Drosophila melanogaster: one gene and its partner. The protein of the gene in region 1 interacts with the protein of each later gene in a pairwise test. Each region holds a gene or a part of one and is shown on either strand. Other genes may lie near its edges.

Evidence for each region. The genes of interacting proteins can lie anywhere in the genome.
Region 2: the proteins of Spt5 (region 1) and spt4 interact in binary tests that used the Drosophila melanogaster proteins (3 or more experiments, as listed by UniProt).

Annotation. Positions count from the first base shown.
Region 1 is NT_033778.4:19,435,888-19,444,629, reverse strand, and holds Spt5 (Spt5), read right to left. Parts: upstream 7,148-8,742; 5' UTR 7,049-7,147; intron 6,676-7,048; 5' UTR 6,659-6,675; coding exon 6,287-6,658; intron 6,224-6,286; coding exon 6,099-6,223; intron 6,041-6,098; coding exon 5,903-6,040; intron 5,846-5,902; coding exon 5,395-5,845; intron 5,333-5,394; coding exon 5,262-5,332; intron 5,205-5,261; coding exon 5,038-5,204; intron 4,978-5,037; coding exon 4,805-4,977; intron 4,750-4,804; coding exon 4,496-4,749; intron 4,437-4,495; coding exon 4,241-4,436; intron 4,187-4,240; coding exon 3,463-4,186; intron 3,405-3,462; coding exon 2,839-3,404; 3' UTR 2,732-2,838; downstream 1-2,731. Other genes in the region: Arl6 (ADP ribosylation factor-like 6), read right to left, coding at 52-186, 236-413; RpL11 (ribosomal protein L11), read right to left, coding at 1,190-1,317, 1,532-1,829, 1,890-2,012, 2,141-2,146; Fak (focal adhesion kinase), read left to right, coding at 8,034-8,082, 8,151-8,742. UniProt on the Drosophila melanogaster protein: Component of the DRB sensitivity-inducing factor complex (DSIF complex), which regulates transcription elongation by RNA polymerase II.
Region 2 is NT_033778.4:12,629,301-12,634,672, reverse strand, and holds spt4 (spt4), read right to left. Parts: upstream 1,085-5,372; 5' UTR 997-1,084; coding exon 928-996; intron 867-927; coding exon 704-866; intron 638-703; coding exon 519-637; 3' UTR 501-518; downstream 1-500. Other genes in the region: Mvk (mevalonate kinase), read left to right, coding at 1-419; CG33792 (uncharacterized protein), read right to left, coding at 1,219-1,668, 1,719-1,877, 1,931-1,999; muskelin, read left to right, coding at 2,517-2,710, 2,793-3,005, 3,068-3,410, 3,493-3,631, 3,688-4,289, 4,353-4,571, 4,625-4,944, 4,997-5,153 and 1 more. UniProt on the Drosophila melanogaster protein: Component of the DRB sensitivity-inducing factor complex (DSIF complex), which regulates transcription elongation by RNA polymerase II.

The sequences.
Region 1 (8,742 bases):
AATTGAAACATTGAGCGATAGACGGGCGTTGTTAATTTGCATATTCAATACCAAATCTCATGCGATCGCTGGAATCAATAACGTAGATGATGCCGTGGCAGTTCTTAAACTGGTGCTCCCACAGATTCCTGTATCGCGTCGCACCGGACATGTCGATTGCCTTAATGGAAACACCTGACATGCCTACTCCAAGGGGATACATATAGTCATAGTTGATGATTCCACGGCCACTTACTGTAAAACTGTTCCACCATGAAGCCAACTGTGGGCACCACAATGGATGTCTGTTCGCTGGACTTTTTGAAATGATTAATTATCGAGGACTTTCCGCTGTTGTTCAGTCCCAGCACCAGAATCGTCATCTTATCCTTTTTAATCTTTATCAAATCGGCCAAATTGTGCAACATTCCCATTTTACTGGCGGACGGGCATCAATTTTATTTTGTTTACGGCGATTTTCCTGACATGTTTGGCCCTGCAAAGGACTTTCAATTGCCATGGCAACCCGCTTGGTGTTGGCATCGATTTATTGAAACTTATGGCCACCTTCAACTTTGGCTGCCGCATCCGATTTGTTCGCCCCCACGAATTTTCAAGTTCACCTAAGGCGTGACTTTGAGTATTGGGTTCGATTACAACAGTAGGGGAAGAGGTCACCCATCATGCCCAAGATGGAATTGTTTTGGCCATATGTACACCTACACTGAACTGAATGATTTGGCTTTAGGATTTCATAAAATAAATCATGGAACTCAGTTTAGCAATTAAATCTACAACTTGTAGCAAAATCAAGAATTTGTTCCTTTTGTTACAAAAGTTTTTTCATTTTGGCATTTTGATATTTACAATTGATTTCTATAATAGTACAAGAAATTGCTTTAAAATTGATCAATTGAACAGTAAACTTTAAAATCTTGAATGCCTCTAGCTGATATCCAAATGTTTTCGTCCAGACACTACAATATGCTGCAGTTGTATCCATTAACAAGACGTTGGTCTCCATAGAACCTAAAACCGGATATGAAATCCTAGCAATGATTTCTTGCCAAATAACTTCAATCACGATCCACTTAGTTGAAACTATTGTCGATAAATAATGTTGATCAGAACTACGGGTTTTACGTGTTGACACAAGCCAAGGTTTATTGTAGAATTCTTCTTAAAAAACATGGTTACTGATAGAGCTCCTCTACTTCTTGGTGTTCAAGATGATACCATCGTATTTCTGCTGGAACCACTTCATGGCATCCTCCTTGGTGAGGCGGTGCTGGAAGCCGACAGTGCCGGACTTGCGCTTCCTGTGGTTCACATTGTAGCCTGCAAGATAAACCAGAGTAGCAGATAAGTAATCAACGTTTTGGCAATCCATGAGACGCTGTCGAAATTGTACCGTGTGGCCACGCATGGAATGTAGCAAGTCCAACTAAGCACATCTTCTTTGCTATGCGCACATTCACTGAGCATCAGAGCCTCGATTGGCAGAGATACCTAATTAAGTGCACGATTCGAAACGTAGGAGACAGATGCTTACCAGGGCGGCCGAGGACGACGTAGAAGTCCAGACCATAGATACCGATGGAGGGATCGTACTTGATGCCCAGATCGATGTGTTCCTGGATGCCGAAACCGAAGTTGCCGGTGGAGGAGAAGTTCTCCCGACGCAGCTCGTACTCGCGCACCTTCAGGCCACGCTCCAGAATCTCCTCAGCCTTGGCGCCGCGCACCGTGCAGTGGACAGCGATCTTCTCGTTACGGCGAATACCGAACGAACGGACCGTGTAGCGGGCCTTGGAGAACACTGGCTGCTGACCAGTCAGCTGCTCCAGCACCTGTTGGCATTCTCTAGTTAGCCAGTGATCATGGTTATGCTGCATCTAGGTATATCTTACCTTGGCGGCACGGGTCAGCCTGTCACCGGACTCGCCCACGCAGATGTTCAGGCAGAGTTTGCGGATGTGCAGATCCCTCATCGGGTTCTTCGCGGGATCGCGCTTAATCTTCTTGGTAACCGCCTGAAAAACAACCAAGGAAACTCGTCACTTCTTGTGCTGCCATCGTAAACACACAGCGTACAAATTTTGCATGACAAAAATATTGTTGAAAATATGTCGATGCGTGCAGCAATTGTGGTTGAACCTACCGCCATTGTGGTATGTAGGAGTGAAAGCTGCTCACAGGTATCCCTCGCTACAAATAAACGATTTAAAAGTGGTTAAATAAAAATATCGGCAAAAAAAACGCGGAGCACTCACCGGAAACTTGTAAGAAAAGAAGGAAAGGATAGTGTGGCCGCGCTGAGGCGCACAAATGGACCTAAAAAACGCACGACACGTGCTGTTGTCGTGCTGTTATCCAACTATCGTGCTGTTGTGCGCACGTCGTTCCATCACTAACGGTTAACAGGGCTAACGGTAAATAAATGGGGTATTCCTTAAAATGTTAACCACTGAAATTGGTTTATTCAATTATTTTAAATGCTGAACAGCAAATATGGCCGATAATTGTGATTATTTGATTGCACGGATGTTTAAATTACTTTGAGGTAGCTTGATTTGATATTTGTTTACTTGGCGTTATTCGCATGTAACGAAAAATCCTTTTAGAATAAAAATTTATTTGAAATACGGCCCGCTTAATTAACTTCATTTCGCATTAAACACATCGTTTAAGTAATGCGCCAAAATTAATAAAAAAAGGCACTTCCAGTGATATCAATTGAAAAACTCGAAGTAAACGTCCATAATAGTTTATTTGAATTATTAATTTTAGCAATAATGTGTATTCCATTGAAGAAGTCCGTCAACTTTAAAGTGTGTAGCATCAATTCGTATGTAGAGCTTAGTCGATGGACTTCATCTTGCAGAGGAAGTTAATCGGTAGCAGCTTGATTTCCTCGTTAATCCTGCAGACGAACACATCGCCATCCTTGGACAGCACTCTGCCCACGGACTCGCGGTCATCGCCGTAGATGATCTTGAATTCGTCGCCATTGCATGGTAGCACTGGCGCCAAGTGCTCACTAACGATGGACACACTGCGATCCTCCTGGCGCAGGAATACGGAGCAGACGCCGTTCGAAACGGTGCGAATGATGCCCGTTTGCCCAACGAGATCGGTGTCGTCGTGCGTGTGAATCCGAACTTCAATGTCTGTGGTACACCAGTCGCCCATCGACGAGTCCAGACTGGCTCCAGGGGTCTGCGGATTGTACGGCGACTGCGGTATGCCACCAGGAGTATTCGGTGAATAAGTCGATGGCGACGGAGTGTTCATGTAACCAACGGGATACGGCGACGGAGCAGGACTGGGGCTGGGATTGAATGGACTGTAGCTTCTGTCCGATCCATACAGAGTGCCAGGAGTTTGCGGGGCAAACTGGGAAGTCATTTGATAGCCAGGGGTACCTTTAAGATTCGATGGAGTTACAATATGTCAAGAACAATGCGCAACCAAAGTACTTACTTGGATTGTATCCAGGGCTGGGACTGGGCTCCTCAAGGGAGTAATCGAAATCGTTGTTCCTGGCCGGCGTTGTGTTTGCCGTGGGATCCCAAGCGCCATGACGTGGTGTCATGCTGCCATCGTGCGATGGTGTCATTGTACCATAAGGAGTACGAGTATCCGTATCCCAGTTGGGCGTCTGGCTTCCCACCAACGGAGTTTTCGATCCGGCAGCGGTATAACTGGGAGTCTGGGCACCGTAGCCGGGAGTGCGAGCTGGGGTGCGTCCATATGTGGAGACACTGCCCTCTTTACCGGTAACTCCCACAATGGCAATGTGATTCCGGTCTACCGAAATCGTCTGGCATGAGGTATGCAGTTCCACACGAGCCGTGCTCTCGGTGGCATCCTTCACAATTCCCACGGCGCCCTTATAAGGTCCTCCACTAATCTTAATGGTTTTACCCAAGATCTCACGGTCACGGGTCACTCGGAAACCACCTCGTCCACCACGGGCGCCACCACGAGCTCCACGACCACCGGATGGATGCATGGGCGATTGAATGCGCGGCGACATAAATCCTAGGCCGCCCACAATGCCGGCATTACTAACGGTAGTCTTGCTGCCTCCAGCCAACTGCAAATGCCTAGTCTTGCACACAAATATTCCACCGTTCTCCGTGTACATGCGGCAATGGAGAAAGGCCAGACTGCGATACAAATGCTTGATCTCGCCGGAACGTCCCTAAAAGATTTGACTTTACACATACTACAGATTGGATAAAATCGAATAACTTACTGCATGGGGTCCCTCCATCACCTTGACTACATCGCGCCGGCGGATTTGGTTTTGATCTGCATCCAGAGCCACCGTATGACGGTTCTCCTTTCGCTTGTGCAATGCAGTTGGCTTGCACTCGATGCACTTGCCATTCATGCCCAAGACATGGAAATTCTCCCTCTCCAAACGCACTATGACACCCACATTCTGGGAACTGTTATGATAAAATTCTTTTAAGATCCGTTTCGCAAGTCATTACATTCGTAAACTCACTCCAGTTGCACCATATCTCCCCATTGAAACTGGCCGAGACAATCCACACCTGTGGCCACATCCGAGCACAGTTGCAAGTCCCTTGGCAGCACCTCCAACTCGTGATTGGTTAGATCGGAGACGAGCACCACTCTTGTAGGCTCGACGCGAATAATGAGGCCAGTTTCGCCTTCGTAACGACCAGCCAACACTCTGGCGTGATCTCCTGTTTTGAAGTATTTGCGCAGCTCACTGGCTTTGAAAATCAAAGGATCCTGCAAAAATCACTTGTTTTATTACTTCATCCTACTTTTCTTTTGTCATACACACCTTTAAATCCTGATGTTTGGGCATGACAGTAATCATGGTGCCGTCAATAGCCACAATCTTGGCCTGTAAGTTTTCCAAATCACCCACGCAGACTTCCACATTGTCGCCCATTGAGAATGAGTGAGCCATAGTGGGATCATCCTTCACGGTGCCCATAATTTCCAAGTTTACCTCTGCATAAGTATATTTCCAGGTTAATATGAACACAAGCAGGTCTAACTTTCATATCTTACCTTCCGGAGATTCTTCAAAGCGTTCTAGCTCGGCTAAAGTGGGCTTTACACCGTCCGAGAGAATGGCCGACATGGTAAAGTTTTTATACAGGAATCCCTTTCGCGAATACCGGTTTCCCTCGAAGAGCAGGAAATCACCATCTGAGTGTACTTCACCTCCAATTGCCCTAAACAAAAACGTAGTTTAGGTCTTGAGCGAAATTAATTCTAATGGTACTACACACCTTACGGCCTCTGGATCAAAAGGTTTAGCTGCTGGGCGGCGTTTCTTCTTGCGCTTGCTATCGTCACTCTCCTATTGAATACATACATTTATAGATCTCATTACACTTTATGACATGTTTATGATCGCCCTACCGTTGCTGTTGTTCGCAAGGCTCCTCGCATGCGTGTGTAGTCAATGCGAGGAAGCAACTTAAGATGTACTTGGTTCTGGGCCAGATCCACGTAGTCCACCTGTGCGATGTCGTCCTTGTAGAGACCGCGCTTCAAGCGCACCCATTGTTTCACTTTAAGGCCAACCTGCTCCTTGACCACCTTTAGCACATCCGTCATCTCCTTGATGGGCACCATTTCCTGTTTCCATTTGCCCATCCGAAGATTACCCACGTTATCAATGCAAGTTTTAACATGAGTCTGCTTATAGGCCTCCAGGTAAATGTATCCCTTGACGCCCTCTGGTGCAATAATAGATTTGATTTGCAATGGATCGTCTGTGTTCAGGTAGGTTAAGTACTTTCGCATTAGAAGAAGCGCTGTGGCCTTCTCCTCGCCTATACGACATTTCACCATCCACAAATTGGGATCCCTGCGAGGAGTACATAGTATAAAATGGTTGCCATTTCGTAAAGATTTGGAAACTCACTTGATGCCGGGCAATAGAGTTTGTTGGGTAATTTCGTCTGACATCTCTTCACCGCCATCTCCAAAGTGGCGTTTTGCAATTGACTCATCGGCGTACTTCTTACGGAGATACTCCTCTATCTCGTCCTCCTTTTGAGTGCTAGAATATAGGAAACAAATTAGACTGAGACCGGGCACTATCCGAAGCTTCAACTTACTCCCAAAGGTTTGTGCCTCGTCGTCGAATTTCAATATCCCTGGCTGTGGGGCCCAGCTCATCGATCTCATTGCCAACAATGCCAATTTCATTGGCACCCTCTTCCCACTCGTCATCTTCATCGACCTATAGTTTAGTGAATGATTATAGTTATATATGGAAACAATTATACGTGTTATAAAGACTCACTTCATCGTCCACTTCGGCCTCGTCAATGATGAAGCCCCCAAAACGCTCCTTCTTTTTCTTCTTCCTTGGGTGATCGTCGTTCTCCTCCTCATCGTACTCCTCGGAATCGATGTCCTCACCTGGTGGCTCCTCCTCCTCTTCGCCGGATTCATCGCTCTTGCCGCGATTATCTCGTCTCTGTGGAGATTCCGAGCCAGATCTAGAGTGGCCCGATTGAGAGCGTGATCTGGACCTGGAAACGGAGCGAGATCCCCTGGAACCGGACCTGGAACGCGATCTTGACTTGGAGCGGGCACTCCGTTGCGACTTGTTGGAAATGGATCCATCTTCGGAGCCACTATCCGACATATTACTGACTTCCGAGTCCGACATTATTGTCTATGTGAGTCCTAAAGGCAAGCAAAGAAATGTGATAACAATCAATTTGATATGGCAAGAATGCATATACAATTAGGAGCACCCCGCCACTTTTGATATGCAGGTGCTCTTGCGGACAAACCAACATATCCAAGTTAATTGGATGATGATCATTATTCTATTGTTATATACATGAAACTAGTAAGAATGCCACATTGTCTAATTATATCTACCAATTCCTTTCTCAAGTTTTTTTTTTTGCTTCTTAAACACGAAATTTGTAAACGTGTGCGAGTGCAACGAGTGCAAATCGCATTTTTTATATCTTCAACTATTATTCACAATATATGCTGGGGTATATGCATTTTATACTGGTTGCGAAGGTGTAATAACGATAGTACTTACTATTTCCTTTATGTTTAATTAGATATTTTCTAAGCGAATTGTTCAAAAGCAAAAAATGTAATTCTTTCCACGCCAGTGGTGGACAGTCGTAAATTTGTTGTTATCGATTGCTTGCGTTAGAAAAGTTAATACCAAAGTGGGAACTAGTTCCATGAGCTAATTTAGAAACTAAAAATTAAATTATTACAAATAAATAATATAAAACATTTACTCTGCTATAAAAAGATAAATATAAAAATTGAAAATAAATGCTTAATTCCACAGATGATGTGTAGCGCTCCAGTGAACCAGTTCCAATTCGGGAACAGCCCTGCTGGCTTATTATCAGCAGAAGGATTCGGTCACACTGGCTACTACGGAGAAATAAGTAATCATATTTTTAAAAATAACCATTACTGGCTGATAAAAGACAGCGGGCAGACACAAATCCATAACCTGAATCGACGATGTGGCGTTGAAGTGAAAACACCGCAAGGTTCACCGTGCAATTCACTCAATAACCATATCAACCCCACACATCTGGCGCAGACTGTATGTATAAACAGATGCACATACGGGGGGATGTGCATGTGTGTGCCCACTACCACATACCGCATTTCCATAAACCGAGAGTTTGGCAATAACGACGAATCTCTCGCTTTCCCGACCACATTAAAGAATTCGGTTATATAGCCCGCCGATCGACGGCCCGTAACTCTGGCGTCGGCAGAGAGTGGGCGTGCAAGTAGGTTTCTCGTGGCAGTAAGGTGTGGTTCCACAACACCATAAAGCAGACGGAGTGAAAGAAAAAAACAAAAAAAAAACACACACAACTTGGTGGTGGGAAAGTCTCTCTTCTCTTCCACCTGTGAAGGAAGATTTTCAGGAAGTCCGCCAGTTAGCTAGCTATTGTGTCATGCAATCGATATCCGCCGTAACATATGCTTCTGGTATCTCAGGTTGAAACCTCTATACGGAATCGCCCACTGTGCGGTAACTGTGGACCATGAACACCGCGGGAGCCACCAGTCAACCGCCGCCCACTAAAAATGAGAGTGAGTTATGCCACTTGGCCCCACTACCACCACATCATAAAACTAAATGAAATCTATTTCCCCGCCAGTTAACTCCGAGGAGTATCTCATCCACGTGCATATGCCGAACAAGAGCTTCAAGGCTGTTCGGTTTAATGTCAAGGAGACCGTTTTCCATGTGATCCGGCGCACTGTCGAGGATCTGGGCACGGATGGACGGACGCCCAGCATTCAGCGATATGCCTGCCGCATGCTTAACATGATCACCAAGGAGGTGATTTGGCTGGCTAGAAGCACTTCAATGCAGAAGGTTCTCTCGCACATCCTGACGCCCGGCTGCTCCAACGTTGACTGTCCCAACAACCAGTCGGAGTTGGATGAGGTTCTATTGGAGCACGGAAGAAGGATCACCGATAATAGGGTGTGGCGAGTGGAGCTCAGAGTGCGCTACGTGCCAAATAATATTCAAGAGCTCTTCGAGGAGGACAAGGCCACATGCTTCTATTATTTCAATCAGGTGAAAGAGGACTTTATCCAAGCCAATGTCACAGCCATCGACACTGAAGTGGCGGTGCAACTGTGCTGTCTGGGCATTCGTCATTATTTCAAGAACATCACCGTGAAAGCACCTGACAAAAAGCAGCACATTGACTACATTGAAAAGGAAATCGGATTTAAAAG
Region 2 (5,372 bases), 6.8 Mb from region 1:
CCAAGGTTCGTCATCTGGGAGATGCCTTTCCGCAGCTCATCGAGGCCATTTGGCAGGCTTGCGAGGAGCTTGTTGCCGCCGCCGTTCCACTCTACGAAAGCTTTGGCAACGCCCAAGACGATAGCTCGAAATTCGAGCAACTTGAACGCCTGTTCCAGATCAACAATGATCTGTTGAAGGCTATCGGAGTGTCGCACCCGAAACTGGAGCAAATCTTCACCATCGCTTTTAAGCGTGGCTTCTTTTCAAAGCTGACGGGCGCCGGCGCAGGTGGCTATGTCATCGTTCTGCTTCCAGAGAACTACGAGTGCAACGAGGTCTACTGGAAGCTTAAAGAGGAGCTCGAATCGGCGGGTTTTGGTGTTCATGTTACGACTGCCGGCGGCGAGGGATTGCGCGTTAGTTCGCTGGATGACTGATGCGGTTTCGTTTTGTATTGCTATTGTATGTATTCGTGGTTTTGTTATAAATTAAAGAATAAAGATTTATACATGTATTTTGTACGGCAATCTGTTTGTTTATCGTTGACTTCTGTCCCGAGATTTGTAGACAATTCCACGATTCTTCATGTCACGTAAGGTAGACTGCGGCAGTGTTCCGGATACAGAAATGGCATAGATACCACGAGTAAAGCGGGCTAAAGGAAAATGATTTCAAATATATCAGTAATACCCTTTTGGAACGGAAGTCATTCAGGCCTTACACAATCTTTGCCACTTGGCCACCCAGGAGTCGGTGGGCGTAGTTAGGGCAATAATTCCGTCAAAGTTGTTGCTAGTGTGATCATAGACATTGTCCTTGTTGTTTTTCATTCGCAGGAACTCCTCGCAGTTTTCACAGCCATCAGTCTCAAATTGATCAAAACTCTGCGGGCGATAAATGATTTCAATGAAAATGTGTGTCGAGTCTGGGCAAAATATAACCCACCTTCACTAGGGAGCAAACGAGGCAGGCGCGAAGTCCTCGCAGATCCTTGGGTATCGCGTCAAAGGCCATATTTACTTATCAATTATGGGTTTAAAACTAAAAATACAAAATCCGTGCAAAACCAAGCCACGACACTGACAGAGTGACCGTACTCTAAAATTTTCTTGAATCTACGATATCGATGGGCGCCGGTTACACCCGACAAAAATTGTCAAAAGAATTTTCACGAAGCTAACCTTTGTATTAAAACGTGTTTTAAAAGTGTATATTTCCTTAGCAGCTATATGAATTTTAAACAAAGTTCAACGGCTTGGGCAGTGGCTTATTCTTTTTTTGCTTGTAATAATCCTCTAGAATTTCAAAATAGATCAAAACCAGTCCCAAGTGAATTCCTGGATTGGCTCCTGAAAAGTTAAATGCAATTTTGTAATCCTGAATTGGAAGTATGGGCAGAGAGACCTCGTCCAAACGAAAGTTACGCGCAATCAAATGACCCTTTAGAAACATATATATATATTCAATATATTGAGAAAATTTAACTATATTATATATACATAAGCTTACCCTATATGGGCAACTGTGGTTTACATTAGTCCACTCCGTCAAATGGCTAATAGCGTATTTTTGCAGAAAATTACTTTGCGTTTTATTCTTTAACAATTGGCAAACATCAAATTTAAATTTAACGGCGAAGGGCTTGTACAAATTCGAAGAATCCTTGTAGAACACTTCTACTGACATCTGAAAATTTCCATTATTATTGTAATACTTAAATTAATGAAACTTCTCACCTTAATATCAGTTAATGCCTCCTTTATGTCACCATCCATGTTCAATACCGATCGAGTCCAGTTTACAGGCTTCAGAATGCAAGAGACATTGCTGAAATATGCTCCGTTTGCTATGCACTCAGTTTTTCTGATTTTGAAAAAGTATCCATTGGAATAGAACTAAAAACTAAAATATTTTTGAAATCTGTATTTATACGGGCTTATTTACGCACAATGGTATTTGGAAGGCATAATAAAACGCCCAAGTACACACAAGAGACAGCAAGCCACTTTGCCATCATTGAAACAAATAAACATAACTTCAACCGAACAACTTAAAGCATACGCTAACTACATTTTAATAACTTTGTACACTTGATAAAAAGGTATCACGGTTGAATGAACAAACAGCTTTCAAATAAATAATCGATACGCCACGATACACTTATCTACACTTTAGCCAAAAAATCGGCTTAACGTAAATTAATTTTTGTTAAAAATGCACTATCGCTCGGAAGTAAAAAAGCGTAAAATGAAAAGGTCGATTGCTTGTTTTGATTTTACAGCCTAATTCTATTGGTTATTTACACAATGCTAATTGTTGTTAAATGCTAACCGTTTGCCAATGTAATGTAAGACAATCGGTTAATCGACCCCCTGATGAGATAACGGCTACGCCCCTGGCGATCAGCTGTTACGCGGTTGTTTTGGGTGTGGAACAGGGAAGCACAAAAGTACGGACAAGAAAGAACGGTAATAACAGCTACAGCCGAGCTCCGTTAATCTTTTACCGCTAGGATCGTTGGAATAGAACTCGCCATGTCCTCCTCCTCGACATCCAGTCCCACGGACAACAGCTCGCACGGATCGGTGGCGCTGTCCTCGGCCCTTAATCCATCTTTAAACCCGGTCTCCGGCACGAATACCAGCAGCCAAAAGCCTTTTTCGCTTTCCGAGCGCCTGAACTTTGAGATCTACCGTTACTCCAGCTACTCGCCAAACTATCTGCCTGAGTAAGTACTAATCTGGAAAAGAAAATGGATGCCTCGCATATCGTAATTGTTAAACGGGCATCTTTTTAATTTCCATTCGTAGAAACGTCCTGGTGGACTGTCCCAACGACCAAACATCTAGGTGGTCCGCCTACACGAACAGCCCGCCGCAATTTCTCACCTTGAAGCTGCGCCGTCCCGCCATTGTGAAGAAAATCAAGTTTGGCAAGTTCGAGAAATCGCATGTGTGCAACATCAAGAAATTCCGTGTTTACGGCGGCTTGGACGATGAGCACATGGTTTTGCTGCTGGAGGGGTAGGTCATTCAGCTGGTTTTCTGAAATGCATTATTTAATATAACTCAAATATTTTTCCCAGTGGCCTAAAAAACGATAACGTGCCAGAAGTATTCAACCTGCGCTGCCTGACCGAAGACGGTTCGGAAAATCTACCAATACTGTACCTCAAGATCGTGCCCCTGCTCTCCTGGGGTCCGTCGTTCAACTTCAGCATTTGGTACGTGGAGCTGCACGGCCAGGACGACCCCATGTACACCAGTGCTCGCATGAAGAACTACAACTCGCTGCGCGAGGTGGAGATCATCAAGCTGTGTCTGAAGCACTTCCGCCAGCAGGGCTATTTGAGTGCCTTTGGGGCGCTCCAGGAGCAAACGAATGTGCAACTGGAGCACCCGCTGATCAGCGAACTGCATAAGTGTCTGGTAAGAAAGGAATCCCCAGCATAGATCATGCTATAAACCTTTGAAGTTTGGTATTAAATTCATAAAAAAAACTGGTTCTTAGGTTTTGCAGGGCGACTTTGAGAAGGCTGAACGCTTTATAGTCGAGTGCATAGACGAGGGCCTAATGGATGAGTATTTACATAAGCAGGACTACAAGCACAGCTGGCATATGAAGCATACCGAAAGCGACATAAAGCCTGGTAACTATTTTTGCCTCCAAATAGCAATCATTAGCAGTTAACTTCCTCTATTTCAGGCAATCGCGGTGGTCACCAGCTGGTGGTGGATGCCAAAAGGAGACTTATTTATCTCTACGGCGGCTGGGATGGCTACCAGGACTTGAGCGACCTTTGGGTATTCAATATCGAAGATGATCAGTGGACGCTACTGTGCGAAAGGTCAGAGCTTTCCAATGGACCCACACCGCGATCCTGTCACAAAATGGTCTTTGATCCCATCAGCGAAAATGTATTCATGCTTGGTCGTTACCTGGATAACTCGATACGAACTTCGGATTATATAAAGAGCGACTTTTACCTTTACGATACGAGGGCTGGCAACTGGATGCAAATATGCGATGACACCAGCCAAGTGGGTGGTCCTCAGCTTGTCTATGATCACCAGATGTGCATGGATACCGATAAGCGTACAATTTACGTTTTCGGAGGCAAAATACTCACGCCTCGCAGTGTCAATGCCACGGGAGCGATAGAACCAGAATATTCGGGGCTGTTCTCCTATCACATAGCAACGAACACCTGGGCTCAGATTCTGGTGGACTGCCACCATGCCAGCGCTTCCCTGGCAGATGTGATGTCCATCAAGTCCAGGATCACACACTGCATGGTTTTCCATAACGTAGGTTAATTATACTCTATAAGCTATGTATACAGATATATGTATTTGTACGCGCTATTATAGAAACATCGAAAACTTTACATATACGGCGGACAACGAGGGAAGGAGGATCTGGATGAGTTTCTTAGCTACGATGTAGACACCCAGGCCATATCGGTTCTCAACAAGGAGCACCCGCATCACGGAACCATCGCTGGCAACGAAGCCAAATTCGAACCTTCCTCCGGTTATACTTTACGTGCCACCATTGACTGTGAACGTGATGAAATTTATATTTTTTCTGTAGGTAGTTCTGACATTATTTCGGCGTTCGTATTTAACTTCTTCGTTTTTAGAGCCTAAGTAAGGTGAAGGATCGTCGTGATATACAGCATATTGATGCATCAAACTCCTTTTGGGTTTATTCCTTGCGCAATCACAAGTGGTCGAGGATATATTACTGTCGCCACAGTGGCCAGGATGCCAACTCAATTAACAACATGAATATTTTGGGCGCTAGCAAGGGTGATGGAACCTTAGAGCCGTGCCCTCGCTATGCCCACCAGCTGGTCTATGATGATGTGACCAATACCCATTATTTGTTTGGCGGAAATCCTGGAATCTGCCAGCAGCAGCAGCTGAGACTTGATGATTTTTGGCTTTTATGTCTGGAAAAGTATGTAATTTACTAGCTGAATGTAATCGATGATAATTTTATTATATTTTAGACCCAAACGAGAGGAGATCCTGAAGCATTGTCGGTTTTTGGTGCGTAAACTGCGCTATGAGGAGATGACGCGCCAAGATCCCTTAAAGGCAATGCAATACTTACGGCATCATATAGCCGATGTCATTGATCACAGCGATGCGGAGCAGTTGAATAATGTATGTCTAAAAAAAGAACTTCAATTTTTGTAGCTTTCTTATATCTGAGTTGATTATTTTAGTTCCACAAGCTTGCGTCTTTACTCTTCAAAAACCATGATGGTAACCTTGACAGAGAATGCAACACACCTGCGTTGTGTGCTGATGCAGACGATCTCGAAACGGATTCCGATGTATCGGCAAAGATCAAAGGTTTTATTAGTCAATAATGAATTCGTA